2 linked regions of the Astyanax mexicanus genome follow. The protein of the gene in region 2 binds, or shares a complex with, the protein of the main gene of each other region. Links are inferred from orthologs where the notes say so. Each region holds a gene or a part of one and is shown on either strand. Other genes may lie near its edges.

What was found.
Region 1: synrg (region 2) and aftpha share a complex: the UniProt entries of both Homo sapiens proteins name them as parts of the aftiphilin/p200/gamma-synergin complex. The link is inferred for Astyanax mexicanus from reciprocal best matches to the Homo sapiens genes SYNRG and AFTPH.

The regions. Positions count from the first base shown.
Region 1 is NC_064428.1:35,656,159-35,665,080, reverse strand, and holds the start of aftpha (aftiphilin a), read right to left. Parts: upstream 4,326-8,922; 5' UTR 4,034-4,325; intron 1-4,033. UniProt on the Homo sapiens protein: Component of clathrin-coated vesicles.
Region 2 is NC_064425.1:13,216,860-13,225,858, reverse strand, and holds the start of synrg (synergin gamma), read left to right. Parts: upstream 1-5,467; 5' UTR 5,468-5,519; coding exon 5,520-5,554; intron 5,555-8,999. UniProt on the Homo sapiens protein: Plays a role in endocytosis and/or membrane trafficking at the trans-Golgi network (TGN). May act by linking the adapter protein complex AP-1 to other proteins. Component of clathrin-coated vesicles.

The sequences.
Region 1 (8,922 bases), on a different chromosome or scaffold from region 2:
ATGCCCTCAATAAACTCTAAAAACAATAGAAACAGCTGAACATAAATGAACATAAAAGTAACGATATTTAGTGATTAATTATATTAGCTGTTGTGTTTGGGCACTGTTAAAGGTTCAATGTAACCTGTATAAGTGAGCCGTTTACCCATCTCCCATTGCGCTTCTGTCCCCAGCACTGTTACAAATTAATGATTAGTCTACAATGAAATTTGTATTAGGTATAAATATGGGAAAAAGCAATAAAACCCTGGATATAGAGCATTCAAACTCAACACAGCTCTGTTAAATGACTAAAACTCAATCAGCAAATGCAATTCTACACTACAAGTATAGAACATTGACTGTAGATATAAATATATTGAGAACTATTTAAAAAACTTTAGGTTATTAGAAAGACTGACTAAATTAAAACCCATACAGAGCAGTTATAGTGAACTCTGGTACTAAAGCCACTTAGTAGTGCACTAGAGGTGGATTCAGGTCGTCAAAGTTAAAGCAGTAGAGCTAAAAGTAGCCCATATAAACTAAAGAGAAGCTGATCAGAGCCTGTTTAACCCCCTGTCTCATCACTACTATCACCAGCACTCACTAAACAAAGCAATAAAACAGAAAACAGAAAATGAAACTACAGTACACTGAACATTACCGAGAGGTCATTCTCTCTTTTAATATATAATAAATTCTAAATATCTCAGTATTTTACACTAGAACATGTATAGAACTGCTAAGCTGAAAGCTTTACACACACACACACACACACAGGCACATACTGCCAAAAGTCATGGGACAGCAGTATTATACATTCTTCAATCCACAGTGTCAAGTGTGAGCAATTATTCACACAGAAAAGAGACATGAATGATGGCTGATTTTAATAGTGTAATGCCTGTAATGGCTTCAATAATAACATATTGTAATCTGATATTACATTTTTGTCCTACTTGTGCAATAAAGCTTTTAAGAAAATGCCTGAAAATAACTCAAAAACTCAAAAATACTTAAACATTGAGCATTTAAGGTCCGTTTATAGTGTTTATTGAACTATTTAAAACACATTTATTTTTGTAATAAAAGCTGTGTTAAAAGCTTTTTTAAGGTCTATTGTTTGCATTCTTCGGCTCTTTGTCTGCTAATAAAGTTGGATTTCTTCAAATATTGTGTAATTTTGTGGGACAAAGTAAATCCAATAGTAATCAAAGCCTTATTTAATTTAAAGCCTTAGTGTTTTATATTATATATACTCCTAACAGCAGACAAAGTCACAAACCTTTGGTCACACCACCCTGCACTAATAGAAGACTAATATTACCCCCCATAGTGGATAAAAGAGTGAGGTGGTAATGATTGTGATGGGTAAATATATGGTTAAAATTTTAACAAAGTCATTTGAGTGGGTCAAGCTTGAAACACTTCTTCATTCTAGTGATTCACTCACTACAGACCTCATCCTGTATAACTATCTAACAATATACTCAAAAATGGCATACATCAATGTCTGACTTAATTAAAAACATTAAGGACTGACTAGAAAGCATATATAAAAACATACACATTTATAAACTATGGATATTCAATGTGTTTGTCCCCCTCATCACCTCTACACTTCTGCAGATCTCTACAGCTTCATTAGTGGTCAAAGTCTGACCACAGGACCACAGTCGACAGGGAATACTGACTGGTGGGTTCTTTTTCCTATAATTAAATCCCCCGATAACAAAAACAGAGCTCAGCATTTTAACAGCATTCAGATATCTCTATTTTAAGACCATTTCCGTTTCTACGGGAAGTCTGATTCTCCCAAACTGAGTAGTGATTTTAATATTTAAGCACCCTTTATATTAGAGAAGTGCTGAAATATTTAAACCACTTTGAGTGGGAATTCCCTCCAGCATTCACTCAAAACATAAAAAAATCTATACAGTAGCTTTTGCATTATAGATGAGACATTGACTTTTCACAATTTACTGCATAATCAAAATCACTAACATGTAAACAGTGTTGTGAAACGTCAGAACAGAGTCAGAACTGTTGAGAGTAGTGAATATTAATAGGCATCAATAGTGTTTAACACAGATTTTAGTAGATTCTGGGTCTGAAACCTATGCTTTAAAATCCATTCATGGTTAAGGGATACACACAGAGTGCTGGGTGGAAAAAAAACAAATACCAAAAACAAATAATGCACCATGGATTGCTGCAAAACTTGGCATGCAGTTTATGTAATGTGTTGATATGTGCAGATAAGCACATTATAACAGATTATGACTGTAAAAGTAATATAAAGCGCCTGCTTTTACTAGGATAGGGTTTCTAGCTAGGGTTTCCCCATTAATGTAAACATTTTTGCAGGATCCTACCTATTTAAATTCTTCTATCTATGTAAACGTCCATTTCCTAGAGCACTTACTTTGAGATATGGTATGAGAGGGAGCAGATCTGCCCTCAAAGCTAATACACCGAATCAAAAAAGGTGTGTCCAAACTTTTGCCTGATAGTGTACCTGTAAATACTCTTTCTTAGTAACTTATTGGTCAGTAGTATTGGCACAGAACTATCTAATGAGGATTTGTGTTGATGTTATATGCTAACGTCACATTGTGACACTGGATCACAAAAATCTCCTTTTTATATTTCTTTACATAAATAATTTAGAATTATTAAAACAAGCTGTTTCAGATTAGCTGTGAGCTCCAGAGAATTTGTTTTCCATCACTTTTGTATTGTTTTTTTGACAGCCATGTTTTTTGTGCACAGAGAACTGTGGGTAACAGAGGGATGGGAAGGATACATCAGCTGCAGCCTAAATTTTAGAATGCAGCTACTATTCGAGACATGATTGTGGGACAACAGCATTCACTGTTTTCACACTAAACTATGGTGTATGGCAATGGAAATTTGAGTATACTCAACTTTACTCAACATACCTTATACTCCAAAACTAGTGCTCGATTATAAGGAACTGGGACATATATATAACATTATAGATATAAAATTGATTTTTCCGTATTCAATGCTTAAATAAAATCAGTACGATTTAAGAACGTGGCAGATTCTTCACTATTTTGCCATCAATAACATACCTATCTAAAAGATGTTTTAAACCTCTTTAAACCACGATTCACTCAATGTAAACATCTCATTACATAGCACTTAATTACACGTTAAAAAATGTGAATATAGTTAATAAGCCATTAAGTAATTGTATATTAGATTTAAAATAATTGCATAATGACACCAAACCACCACCTCTGGCTACCATATGCTGTGTACACAGCTGACTTTGAAACTTACCTACACATATTTAGCTTGGGTTATTTACATAATATAACTCATGTACGCACTAGCACGTAGATTATAAAGACAGTCAAGCTTTAATCTCGTGATAAATCCTTAAAACAGCTCAAAAATACCACCTTAAACCTAGATAAGTGTCTATAATCTGAATAGATATACGTGTGTTCATGAAGTTGCTTGAAGCAGCTGAGCTAACTCCTTAACGCTAGCTCAGCTAGTTAGCTAGCTTAGTGTTAGGAGGCGGTTATCAGGAAAATAAAGGAATATTAACACGTTTAAACCGGTGTCATGCCTAAATTAAACATATTTAATCATTGTTAAAGCTGTGTGTGACTGAGCGGCAGTAAGAAAATGATAAATGAGGGGATTAATCGGGAGATAAACAGCGCTGAGGACGGGCTGCACCTGTGTTTGCTAAAGCGGCCCAGCCCAGTTCATCTGGGTTATTTAAACTATGCTAAGCTAAACTATGCTAAGTTAGCTTAGCCACCTATCAGGCTCTGATTTAAGCTATTAAATGTTAAATATAGTAAATAAAAAACGACACGACTCGTGAATTAATGACACGAAAAAAACACGTTTATATAAATATATAAATTTAAGCTGTCTAATTATTCAGCGCTCAGTAATAAGCGCGTTTAATAAGGCAGACCTGTCGTTAGCTGTTAGCTGTTAGCCGCTAGCGGTCAGCCTAGCTTTAAGGCAGGGTGAATACAGCCAGTGCAGCGGGATTAATTACCGCGCGGATCCGCAGATTCGCTCCCATCACCCGGGCCCGGCCTGAAGGTCCTCCCGCCGCTGAAACGATCAACCGCGGGTCTGGAGAGCCGCCGCGGACCCTGGAGAGAAACTCAGTGAGACCCAGGAGAGGAGCTCAGAGCCCGGCAGAGGCTAAAGCTAAGGCTAAACTACATTCAGTACTCTCATATACACACACACACACTCATATACACTCATTTAAATACACACACACACTCTCTGCACTGCCCTCTCCAGATCAGCACACACACAGCATGCAACTAGTGACGGAGCTCCGGGTCAGCTCCAGCCTTCCCCACCATCTCCAGCCCATTCACCTCAAACCTCAAAAACAGCCTACAGTCAGTTTTATTACAATTATATGTATTTTATTTTTTAAATAATATTTGCATGCCTTATTTCATCTAATTCTGATATATCCCTATAATAATAACACTGTATTAACCGCCGATTAAATATTACAGTGTTCCAGTAGGTTAAGTACCTGCTTGTTATTATTATACACACACACAATAAACACAAAAATACTGAAGCCAAAATAAAATTATATAACAGTGAAAAAAAACACACCAAACGTTTTATATTGCAGACGTTTTTGACCCAACATATTTCCTATTTAATTAAAAGCATAACATAATATACACAAAACACTAAAGCCAAAAGAAAAATATATTACAGTGAAAAAACACACTCTATTCTGTATTGGACACACTCAAACTCTATTGGACAATATTTCATATTAGAGACGTTTTGAGACGATGCTTGATTTATTTTTTATTTGAAACATCTGGTATATTAACACATTCAAACAAGCAAAAAAGCAGTAAATTTGAATGTTATATCGGATTTATCTTTTTTTTTTTTTTTGCTTTAGAGTTCATGTGTTATATTTAATATTACCGGGCTATTAGCATGTTTTTTTATTTTTTTAACATGTTTTTTGTATATTATTTAGAAAAAGCTTAAACTAAAATCATTAAAACCATCAAAACCACACATTTAACATTTTAAAGAAATATTTTCTTTAAAACAATTGATAAAACAAAAAGTTAAATACGTATTTTTTCAAATATTAAAATAAAACTAAACAAAGCAAATATATTTAAATGATTAGTTTTCGAAATTATTATTTTTCAGTTTTATTTTAGTTTAGTTTTAAATATTTTTATTTATATCTGTATTTTATTATTACGCGTTTTTACAGTTGAGTTGTCGCTGGTAGTTCTGCGCATGCGCGACAGCAGGCGCTGTGCTTGTGTAAAGTAGAACACACAGACAGGTCACGTGTTGTGTTGGATTAATCATTGATAAATACAAAGAGATACAAAAATTAAAACTAGAAATCTGTTTAGCCCTACATACATACAGTGTTATGCAAAAGTTTGGGCATTTTTTTGAGTATATAAATATAAAATGCCAAACAAACTAATGAACAAAATAGTTGTTTTACTTATTTACTGAATTCAACATATTGAAAAAAAAAATATTAAATGTGCCTTCACTTTTCTTCACACCACTTTTGATGTTATATATTTTTGTGCAATATGTTTAATTCAACTATTGAAAAATAATTGTGTTCAGAATGGGCAAAAGTCTGGACTACTGATACTCTCTATTCACAGTGAGTGATATAGCCTATCTGGGACCTCCAGAATGAATTGAGTGAAATTTTAGATCACACCAATATATATAATATATATATTTTTGTTGCCATCCAACTTAACAATGAATTGAGTGGTACTACACTGGCAGCTACTATTGTGTCCCATGATTTTTGGCATGTCCCATGGAAGCTAATGGATCCTGCCAGTGTATAAAAGAGTTTAAAAACAAACACATTTCTTATGAGTAAAAATAAAACACAATATTATTTTAAAGATATTTATAATAATATATCTATAACTAATTTCCAGAAATTATTAAGTGATATTTAAAGGCATGGCTCCCAACTGGTGTATATACTTGTATACAGTATATTTCACAGAGACTGAGCAGCAACACTGACTTATATTTAGCTACTGTGTATAAAAAGACACTAGGAGGAAGTTAGCAGCAGAATGATAAGGGAGTTCGCCGGAACTCTAGAAGAATAGATAGCAGGGCTGCATGAAAGCATTGTATATTTGCCATTTTGCTGCATGTCTAGCTGTGTGTCCCAATAATTTTGACCAAATAATGTATATTTAGCTCAGCTGAGAAAATAAACTTTTTATGTAATAAAAAGAAAGAGAGGAAAATGTGCTATGCTTAATAAGGAGTTAACAGTCTACCTCTATAATCTATTCTGGAATGTGCCACGGGAATTAAATATCCTTAAAGGGATCAAACCCCAATCCTCAGCCATTAGTACACGATTTAGCATAATTAAAAAAAGGCCTTTTAGTTGTAGATTGTATTGTTTTTTGTTTGTTAATTTTTATTCAATATCCAGCTCTGGAAACAATAAGAGAGCAATTAAAAATGGAGTTTCTTTGATTTTACTAAATTGAAAACCTCTGGAATATAATCAAGAGGAAGATGGATGATCACAAGCCATCAAACCACCAAACTGAACTGCTTGAATTTTTGCACCAGGAGTGATTTGCATAAAGGTATCCAAAAGCAGTGTGTAAGACTGGTGGAGGAGAACATGATGCCAAGATGCATGAAAACTGTTATTAAAACCAGGGTTATTCCACTAAATATTAAACACTTACACTTACATAGTTTGTTTCTCAATGACTGTAATTTGATTAATTCAACAAACTACCCAATATAAAGACCACTGAATACTGATTAGACATCTTTAATTATTTACTGATTGTAAGACAATGAAACATTCAATACTGAGAGGCCAGTAAACAAAACTCAAAATGCAAACATTTCAAAACAATTCCACTGCATTTTTCCATCATCTGCCGGTCTAATGTATTGCTGTAGTTAATTAAAACAACATTATCTTTATTATACTTCAGTATTACGTGTTTATTTATGTATCCTTACAGTACAAAATGCTGTTCACATTCATTTCATAATTTAAAGGCCTATTTATATTTTTATAGCTAAGTACAGTACAAATCAAAAATGCTCTTTAAAATCTCTGAACATTCAGTATCACTGTAGCACTGTGAAAAAAAAAACAATCAGTACACTGCAATAATCACCATTTTCCTCACATACTGTATAACATATGGCATTTAGTATACAGTATCTGGAATGCCACAAAATAATATCACCATATATTAGTCTCATTTATTCCCACACATAGCTTTCTTTTTTATGTACAGTAAAAGTAGGGCAAGCCGTTTGAGCCTAAGTTGACGCTAGGTGGTTGAGTTGTAACCAACTAACTGAACTCTCTCGGACTCTGGCTGCTGATGCAGAAGCAGCGTGATCAGGGATTTAAACCGGCGATCCTCGGATCATAGTGGCAGCACCTTGGCCAGCGCTGGACCACTCAGAGCTTATCAGATATTATTAACAGTAAAAACAGTTATAGTTTATATGAAACAAGAATTCTACTAGTAAAAGCTGCATTACAGAAATCTGTAATTATTTTAAAGTTTTTACTAATAAAAAAAAATTGAGTTAGGCTGAAAAGGCTTGCCCTGTAGTAAGACTTTAACAGTATATATTAAGAGAAATAAATACACTTGTTTGTGGAGTATTCCTGAGCACTGAACTCTATACAGTAGGAATAGTGTATTAGATGTAAACTGCACTATTATTAATTTAGGCTTGAGGAAATACAGGGAAATAGAGGGAAATAGAGGGAAATAGAGGCGTCCCATCAGTAAGGGGATTTCTGGAATGGTTAAAACTTTGTGCATCTAGAAAATGAGAAAGACAAAAGGCTCAAACTCACTAATAACAGAAGACAATGGAGATGAAGGGTCAGTGTAACGTTTATTAATTTAATTTTCTAACCATTTGAGGTTAAATGCAAAAATAGAAAATTGGATGTAAAAACTCAATATTTGTTTAGTGCAGTGCACAAAAATAAGTTTTTATCAATTTTTCCAATCCTCAAAATCGTAATTTCAGGAAAAATGAAAAAATGTATTTTATTTTCTGATTTTCCAATTTTTATATTTTTTGTATGTTGTGTTACAAGATACAAAAATGGACAAATCTGAAAATCGAGAGAACATTTAACTTTTCATTTTTCTTAAAATTCTGTTTGCAAAAGGCTGAAATGAAAAACTCGATAATTGAAAAATTGGATGAAAACCTTCATATTTCTTCATATCGAATAAAAAAAAATTTAAACTGCTATTTCTTGTACACTGCACTACATTAAAAAAAATGAAACATTTAACCTAAAACGGTCAGAAAATTTAATTAGAAATAACTAAACATTAGCATGTGACCATGAAGCTTCTGTTATTAATGCTGTTTTAGTCATTTAGTCATTTTTTTCCTGTTCTTTTCCCAAGTACAGGGAATTTACTCTGTTAAATAAAAAACACATGGAGCACTAGAGCACTCCTTTAACACTTTAGCTGAAAGTGCTATCAGAAATATAAACAGGCATGAGTGGAATGTCTGAAGGCTCGATCTGAACGCATGTCTTCTCTATTATTTATCTCTATTATCTCATTCTCTGTATTACAATAATCCGTATGCACATCAGTGATGATCTGTGCTGGTTAATGATCCGCGTGTGGAATGCGGGTGGGCCAGTTATAAGAAATACAATATAAAATCATAGAAAATGCTTTTACCCTTAACTCTAATGGAATGGAAATAGCAAATCACAAATCGTCGCTCTCCAATGAAAAACATGCAGCTTCTCCAAAACAGCAGCTTTACAGGAGAAGGAAAAACCTTTCTTGACTTTTTTAATGTAAGTCAATGTAAAAAAATATATATTTAAGGCTGTTCTATTGG
Region 2 (8,999 bases):
GATGTGTGAAGCTGAAAGCAGCACCAGAGCAGAATGAGAATGCTTCTTTCGGGCCATTGTGTGAATGTGTTCTGCCCCTTTGAGCTGGGAGACTGATCATACAGTAGAAAGGGCCTATGACAGATAGAGGTCTTCATGCTGATGCTGTTGTGGAGCGCTGGGTGAGGACGCTGGTGATTTATGGTGATTGGTGGGATGCTGTGTGAGGGAGGTGGGTTAATGTTCACCTGGCCTTCGGGGGGGACAGGCCTGACGCTGCTGGCCTCAAGCTAAACCCTCCGATCCCAGTAGGGTAACGGCATCCCTCATGTCCCCCTTGCCACGTCCCAATAGTTATGTAAGACGTCCCATTCAGACAGCTGAAAGGCCTGTGGAACAAATGAAATATCAATCTTGCCTGGTGGGTTAACTTTCTCAGCTCAGTGCCCCCCCCTTCTGCATGACTGCCTTATTTACAGTTTTTACTTTTCTCACATTTCTGTAACGTTTAATCATATTTAGTCTTCAAAAATTATTTAGGGATTAAATGCAAATTTATTTAATTGCAACTTCAGGTTGACGACACTATTTTATTTTATATTTTATATTCTGCAAAGTGGCACCTTTTGTTTAGATGACAGCATTTTTATAAGGCATTTTTATGAGGTAGAATCACCTGGAATTCAGGCTTTCAGTTAACAGCTGTGCTGAACTCGTCAAGAGTTAATTACTTGAATTTCTTGCCTTGCATTAATGTGTTAAAGAGCATCAGTTGTAAAGTTGTGAAGAGGTAGAGTTGGTATACAGTGAATAGCTCTATTTAGGTAATGTTCTAATCCATATTATGAGAAGCAAGAACTACTTAACTAAGTAAAGAAAAAATACTTTCTAATTTAATACTAAGAAATTAAGGTTAGTCTATCTGAAAAAAAGAATTTCAAGTATTCTCATGTGCAGTCACTGCGAAGACCATTAAAAACGTTATAATGATGAAACGGGCACTCATCAGGACCACCCCAAGAAAGCATAGAAGAGCAAGAGATTTCTCTGTTTTACAGGATAAGTTCATCAGGCTATTCACTGTATACCAACTCTACCTCTTTACAACTTTACAACTGATGCTCTCAAACACATTAAGAGGCAAACAAAAAAATCAAGTAATTAACTCTTGAAGAGTTCAGCACAGCTGTTAACTAAAAGCCATTCAAGGTGACTCTACATCATAAATGTGACTGAGAAAATGCAAAGATGAGCAAAGCTGTCATCCAAGCAAGAGATGCTACTTTGAAGAATGTAAAATATAAAACACTATAATTCCATAATGTATTTTTTCGTAGTTTGTATGACTTTAGTATTAATATACAATGCAGAACATTTTAAAACAATAAAAAAAATGAATTTAAGGTTTGTCCAAACTATTGAGTGGTACTGTATTTCTGCGTCTACAGTGCATTAGATCACTAAGCCATTTAAGTTATAATTTTAGTGTGTAAGGGGTAAGAGTCATTCAAGAACAGCTGATAGAACCACATAAACAAGAGATTACTATACTTACCTTTATTACCAACAATCTCTACAATACAGAGTTACTATATTCACTAATATCACTTACAACTTCACTGTACACAACACAAGCCTTATGTTCACCATGTCCAGAAGCTCCGCCCACTTCTCTACAATACAGAGTTACTATATTCACTAATATTACTTACAACTTCACTGTGCACAACACAAGCCTTATATTCACCATGTCCAGAAGCTCCGCCCACTTCTCTACAATACAGAGTTACTATATTCACTAATATCACATTGTTCTTTTGAACTTTGTTCACCATGTCCAGAAGCGGCATCATCTTCTCTGGGATAATGGACAATCACACAGTGGAAACATGAAATGTGGTCAGATTGATCAGTATTAGGAAGAAGAAATCAATGTCTTGAGCTTCAGATCAAAGAGGAAAAGAACTATCCTGACTGTTCTCAGTGACAAGTCCAAAAGCCAGGTACTGTCATTTTTTTTATAATATATATTTTTTTAACTAGCATCAGCTCACCAACCAATCAGCACACAGTAGCAGTAAGGCTAGCTCCACTACTGGCAAAAACCTGTTTGCTGTAGAAAAAATGAAATGTACAGGTTTATTGGCTTTGCCTATTTAGATAAATAAATAATTTTACTTTCCAAATTTAAAGGAAATGAAGGAATATCCTGGTAAGGTTGTTATATACTATTTTAAATTTGTGTTTTAGCCATTTAGCTCCATTCACTCCCACTCATTTCAGACTCACTCGCGAGCTCCCTCTAGCGGTTGACAGTAATTTTCTGATTATATCGGCGGAGATAGGGAGATGGGCAGCCTCTCCTTAAACCAGCTGTGGTTTATAGAGAGGCTGAGACTGTTCTCCAGAACAACAGCTCCATCTGGTGTTACTGTTAGATCAGATCAGAAGACCCAAAGCCTTACTAGTCTTTAAAGCCCATACTGTCCTGCTCACTGTTTTGTTCCCCATGCTTTGAAAAACCCAATTAAGGCTTATTAATCAATTACTTATTCATTGTTAATTATTAGAGCAAATAATTACAGATAATTACTTGGTTCATGTGTGCTGGAAGATGCTGGAAGCTGGAGAAGCACTAAAATATGAGTACTGTACTTCTGTAGGTGGATGGATTACAGGAAACTCATAATAATGCAGTGTACATGTAAACAAAATTGATAAAATAAATCAATCAATAAATAAAATACCTTCCACCAGTTTTGTTAGCATGTTTATTACGTATAATATACATTAAAAAAGGGAGGTAAAGTGAATAAATCACATAATCTATCAACAGATTGTCAACAGCTGGGTCATTTTTTAAAAATCCTTTGTATATTTATCATATTATGGAAGCAGGAGAAGCACTAAAATGTGAGACTTCTTCTGTAGGTGAATTGATTATAGGAATTTCTATAATAATGCAGTGTACATGTAAATAAAAATTATATAATACTTAAATAAATAAAAAAATAAAATAAAATGCCTTCCACCAGTCCTGTTACCATTTTTATCATATATAATTTTAGAATTTTATTATAGATAAGGTAAAAAGTAAAGTAAAAAATATCATAATGAGAGTGTCAACAGCTGGGTCATTTAAAAAATCCTTTGTATATTTATCATATTATGGAAGCAGGAGAAGCACTAAAATGTGAGACTTCTTCTGTAGGTGAATGGATTATAATGCAGTGTACATGTAGATAAAATTTATATAATACTTAAATAAATAAAAAAAAATAATATAATGCCTTCCACCAGTCCTGTTACCATTTTTATCATATATAATTTTAGAATTTTATTATAGATAAGGTAAAAAGTAAAGTAAAAAATATCATAATGAGAGTGTCAACAGCTGGCTCATTAAAAAAATCCTTTGTATATTTATGGAACAAAATATGGTTTAGGGCAGGGGTGTCCAAACTACGGCCCGTTTCCTTTTTTGGAGCGGCCCGCGAGGTATTTTAGAAATAGAATGAAAGTTGGCCCGCTGTTAAGCAGGTTTTTATAATGTGAGATTCAAAGTTTGAACGCTAGGTGTCAGAAACGGGCCAAAGAGTCTAAAAGCGGAGAGGGTGCGCATTTCTAGCGCAGAAAAACGGGGCAAAGAGTCTAAAAGCGGAGAGAGTGCGCATTTCTAGCGCAGGAAAACGGGGCAAAGAGTCTAAAAACGGAGAGAGTGCGCATTTCTAGCGCAGAAAAACGGGGCAAAGAGTCTAAAAGCGGAAAGAGTGCGCATTTCTAGCACAGAAAAAACGGGGCAAAGAGGCTAAAAGCTGAGAGAGTGCGCATTTCTAGCGCAGAAAAACAGGGCAAAAGAGTTTAAAAGTTGCTGTAATTAAGGAGTTTAATATTATGAGACATCATGAAATTAAACATCAATTTGAAAAATCTTAGTTTACACAACACTGTCAAAGATAAAGATAGTAAGTCAAGTAAAATGGTGCATAAAGAAATAATCAGGAAAAACGTATTATTTAAAGTGGTATATTTCATTATTTGTTTTATTACAGTGTGGCCCGTGACTTCAAATATATTTCTCCTTCTGGCCCCCAACAAAAAAAAAAGTTTGGACACCCCTGATTTAGGGTTTAGTGGCTCTTTATTGGAAACATGTGGTTTAGGGTTTACGCGCTATTCAGACAAGATTAGTTTCTCAGGGGGTCCTTGGGTAATTTTCTCTTTTATAATTTCCTCTGTGATTTTATTCCCATGGAACAACCATGTATGTGTTTTTCTCAGACGTCCACTGAGAAAATTACAGGCTTAATTACCTACTGTTCTTCACTGAACTCCGTCGTCCTCCGGTAATTTTAGTCCCATCCCGAAAAAAGCACATCTAAAATAACTATTCGTCCACTGCTAAGCACACATAGACTGTTGTATATAAGTATATGGACAGGGCGTCCCCATTTACTCTCATTACGGCGTTTTACAGCCAAACGATGGCCGAAATGGAAGCTGCCATCTTGCGTGCGCTTGCGCAGTAGAGGCAAAGTGGAGCCAGAACAGGAGCAGCAGAGGTGGGAGGCGGGGCCGTGTAACTGCCCAAACCCCGCCCACATGTCGTGGACTCCCACCACCCATATCGGGGAGGCGCACAGCCAGCGCGTCAATCACCACATCGCCACGCCTCTTTATTTATAACAAAAATCCTATAAAACTCAATACATGTAAAGAAAAACACTGGGTGTTATTAACATAGGAGGGGGCTTGCAAAATGTACAGAGCCTAACTTCCCCCCAAAAAAACTGGATGTGTAATTTTAGATAAAAAATTCCATCATCTTCCATTAAAAAAGGGGTTAAAACTTGTACCTCAGCCAGCCACCAGAGAGCGTACGAGACATAGTAGCTTCACTTTTCAACCGCTGTCCTTCTGTCCAAACTCATATACAGTCTGTGGCTGTCTATGGAATCGCATACTACTATACTGCATATTGTATACTAGCTTTAGGCTGATTTAATACGCAAGTAATATTGTAGTATGCCATTTCAAATACTAAGGCTATCTAAGCGCCGTAATTACACTGGGTGCACGTTTCCATTGAGATCCACATAAACACAACAGTGAGTGGAAATGGAGGAGCTACTGAAAGTCATGCCATGTGACCGAGAAAGCCAAAAAAACTCACTGGTCCTCCTGTTTTTTTCAATTGCAGTCAAGATGCAAAAGTTTTATCACTAAGTAGAAGTGTCAAATATTTTTCACAGACGCCCCCCCTGAAAAACTCATTCTGTCTGGATAGGGCTTAAATCAGTTTCAGCAGTGAGGAAAAGAATTTGAGGTCTAAGAGGTGAAGTGCAGTAATAAAGTAATTGATAACATGATAAAATAAAAATGCAGTTTGTCTGATTTTACTAGCAAACAAACAAACAGATTTAAAATCACCAATAACACCAAAAATCACCATCACTACCCAAACCAGCACACACACCCCTCCTCCACAGGTGAGACCGGAAGTTTGGGGGGATGATGTCACTCCACAGAGCTGTGTAAAGATGGCGCTCCGGCCCGGATCAGGGGGAGGCGGCAGGTACAGAAAACCCTTAAATTCAGCGAATTTAACTTGATAACTGTGCGTTTCAGGCGGACATGCTCTGCTAAAGAGTACGGTTATTAAAGCGCGGGCTGGGTTAGGCGTGTTGCGGGCGGAGGGGCACTTTTCCCGGGCTGTATTCTGTGTGTGCTCACGGTGTTAGCCTGTTAGCAGCTGCTGCTAACCGCTCTGTCACTTCTCCGGGTTAGCCAGCCGTGCTAACCGGCTAACGGTCGGGGCGGGTTACATACACCGCTGCGCACCGTGTGAGCTTTTACTGCAGCTAACTGACCATTAATATAACAAAACCAGCCGCCGAGCTTATTAATCATATCTCTGCTTTAGCTAGCTCTGCATTTATCATGACTAGCTTAAAACACTGGGTTCACAGCTAAAGCTAGGGTAGCTAACCGCTATACCAATAACCAGCGCTGCACCTGACCTGCCCACCGCTCTCATTCTGTGTGCAGCTTAACAATGTTCTTATTTAGAGATAATAAGTTATGTTAAGGTACAGTATCATTATTTTGTGATAACAAGTGTTACTAGCTTGTGGTTGTTTTGAGGCACTAAGTCGTTATTTTGAGACGCTAAGTGGTTGTTTTGAGGTACTAAGTCGTTATTTTGAGGCGCTAAGGGGTTATTCTGAGGTACTAAGTCGTTATTTTGAGACGCCAAGTTGTTATTTTGAGACGCTCAGTGGTTATTTTGATGTAACGTTACTAAGTCGTTATTTCGAGACGTTAAGTGGTTATTTTGGTTATTCTGAGACACTAAGTCGTTATTTTACGATGGTAAGTGGTTATTCTGAGGTACTAAGGCGTTATGTTGATGTACTAAGGGGTTATTCTGAGATACCAAGTCGTTTTTTGAGACACCAAGTTGTCATATTGAGATTCTAAATTTTTACTTTGAGGTTCAAAGTTATTACTTTAGTATCTCAAAATAAAAATATATGTATACTGTTGCAAGTCAGCCACTGAGCTCTCATCTGTGGGCGTTTGTTCATCATATTTCCGCGGTAGCTAATTTTGGGTTTATCATTATTGCCTTAAATTGACTGTGTTCTTAGCAAAAGCTAGGCTAACTAGTTAGCTAGCTTACCAGCTAGCCGTTCAATTCATCACTTCAATAACTAGCACTGCACCTGACTTGCCAGCTGTTCTCATTTATTTATTTAGCTTATGTGTTCTGTCTGCAGTTGCAATTTACCGATTAGTCGACATTGGAATTTGGAGTAAACTTTGGAGCATTTTCATAATCAACATTTCCAATTAGTCATTGCAATAGGCCTGTCACGATTATTACATTATGCACTTATCATATACAATAAAGGACATGACCTCAATAATATGTGATAACTGTCTATTGTATTTATTTGTATATTGTGTTTGTTCTTTATGTATATACAGTAGTATGAAAAAGTTTTGTTCACCACTGATCATTTTCATGCTTTTCGTTTTTTTTTTTTTTTTTAAATCATTGGTTGTACAGATTTCAATTTCAGGTAACTGTGTCATATAGCAAACAAACACAGTGATGTGGTGTGATTTTAAAGTGTGCTGTTCATGCTTGGAAACTATCAAACCTGACTGAACTGGAGATGTTTTGTAAAGAAGAATGATCCAAAATACCTTCAGCTAGAAGCTATAGAAAGTTTTTAGAGGCTGTAATTTCTGCAAAAGCAGGATCTACTAAATATTGATAGTTTTTCTGTTGGAATGCCCAATTTTATGCACCTGTGACATATTATTGCACACTGAGGACAGTATTTTAGCCAGTCATGCAATTCCAGACCAGTGCTTCAATAACTGTGACTCCATACATACACTGTGCAGTGACTGCAGTAGGTGAAGAAAAATGTATACATATCATATATTTCCTATTCAAAGAGTAATTAAAATGTTTCTTTTTAAAAGAGTATAATTGCTCTGTTATGTTATTCTATCATTGCTATGTCAGTGGCATTCAGTGGTCTTTAAATGACAATAATATCTTTCGTTTATTTCATTTATTTTCTGGGACAATATATTGTTCACAGGTGTAGTTGTGAAATCAAAATCCAGCGTGAGCTATCTTTTCAGCATGCCAAACAAAGCGTTTATTTGGAAGAATCTTCGAAGCTCATTCAGTTTAATTTAAATACTTATTTAAATACTCCCTATATATTCATATCCCTTCCAGCACCTCTTGCTAAACACACTTTTATGAAGTCTGGCCTGTGAAGAGTTATGCCCTCTCAATCCAGGCTGTCTAATCCTGTTGCCTCTAATTTGGTAATTTGTCAGTATTTGGATGCTGAGACGTTAGCACTCTGTAAGCGTACTGAATTTGGTACCGCTGTGTATATTAAGTCCTATATCTTTCAGAAAAAGGCAGTCTCATAATTTATTTACTGGCAGAGCTTAGGCCTCTGGTGAATGGCTTAAATAATGAATAGCTGGTTCCACGCACCACAGATCCAGGTAATTGTGATACTGAAGGTGAAACCGGATGATGCCCGGTGATGCCTGGAGTGCAAGCCACTAGCAGTGACAAGAATAAAAAAAGCACCTGCAGTTCAGTGAAGTTTGATGTAAACCCTGAACTTGGATTCACTGCACTTCTCTGAATATATTCAGTCTGGAAAAGTTGCATTACACGCTGTTGCTTTTGAGGGATTGGGAGGAAGGGCATTCATATAAAAGGAAAATGTGTCCATACGTGTTTGTTGGTGTCTATGTAGATACAGAAACTTTGTAGCTTGTTTTAAGGCGTGTCAGTGTGTAATTGCTATCATACACCTTACGCAGCATAAAATGCGCAAAAGGCATGTACTAATTCTCTTAATTAATCATGGATGTGTTTTGGGCGTAACATTAAATAAACCAATCAGCATGTCACTTGCCATTCCCTTTAAGAGATATTGTTATTTGAACTGCACATGGTGGGGATGCTGAGTGCTGAGGCCCATACTGCATAAAAGTCTCCAGCACTCTGCTGACTCAATAACTGCTGAGTTTCACACCTGCTCTTAGAGCTGCAAAAGGGGAACCGACTCCACATTTAGAATTTAGAATGTAATGTCATCAAGGTTACTTTAGGTGTATTACTGTGTACATGGCTAGATAAGCTATAGAAACAATACTTATCAAGCCTGTCTTGTCGCTGTTGAAACAAATGGTGCTCCATAGTACCTGAGGATAGATAATGTTCTAGAGGAGGAGCAACAGCTGGTCAGCTGGTGTTCCTGTAGCAGGTGATGCAGGCTGGACGTTGAGTCTGACAGGCTGTGACACATTGCAGGCCAAGAAGGGAAGTCAGCCTTAGCGAGTGAACCACGGCTGAATTAATCAAGTGAGACCAAACCCAGCCTGCTGGCGTTTAACCAGAGCTTGTCTCATGCCAGAAGCATCGATGGAAGCTTGCGTAAACAAGATGTGATGTTGGTGTTAAGTGAGGG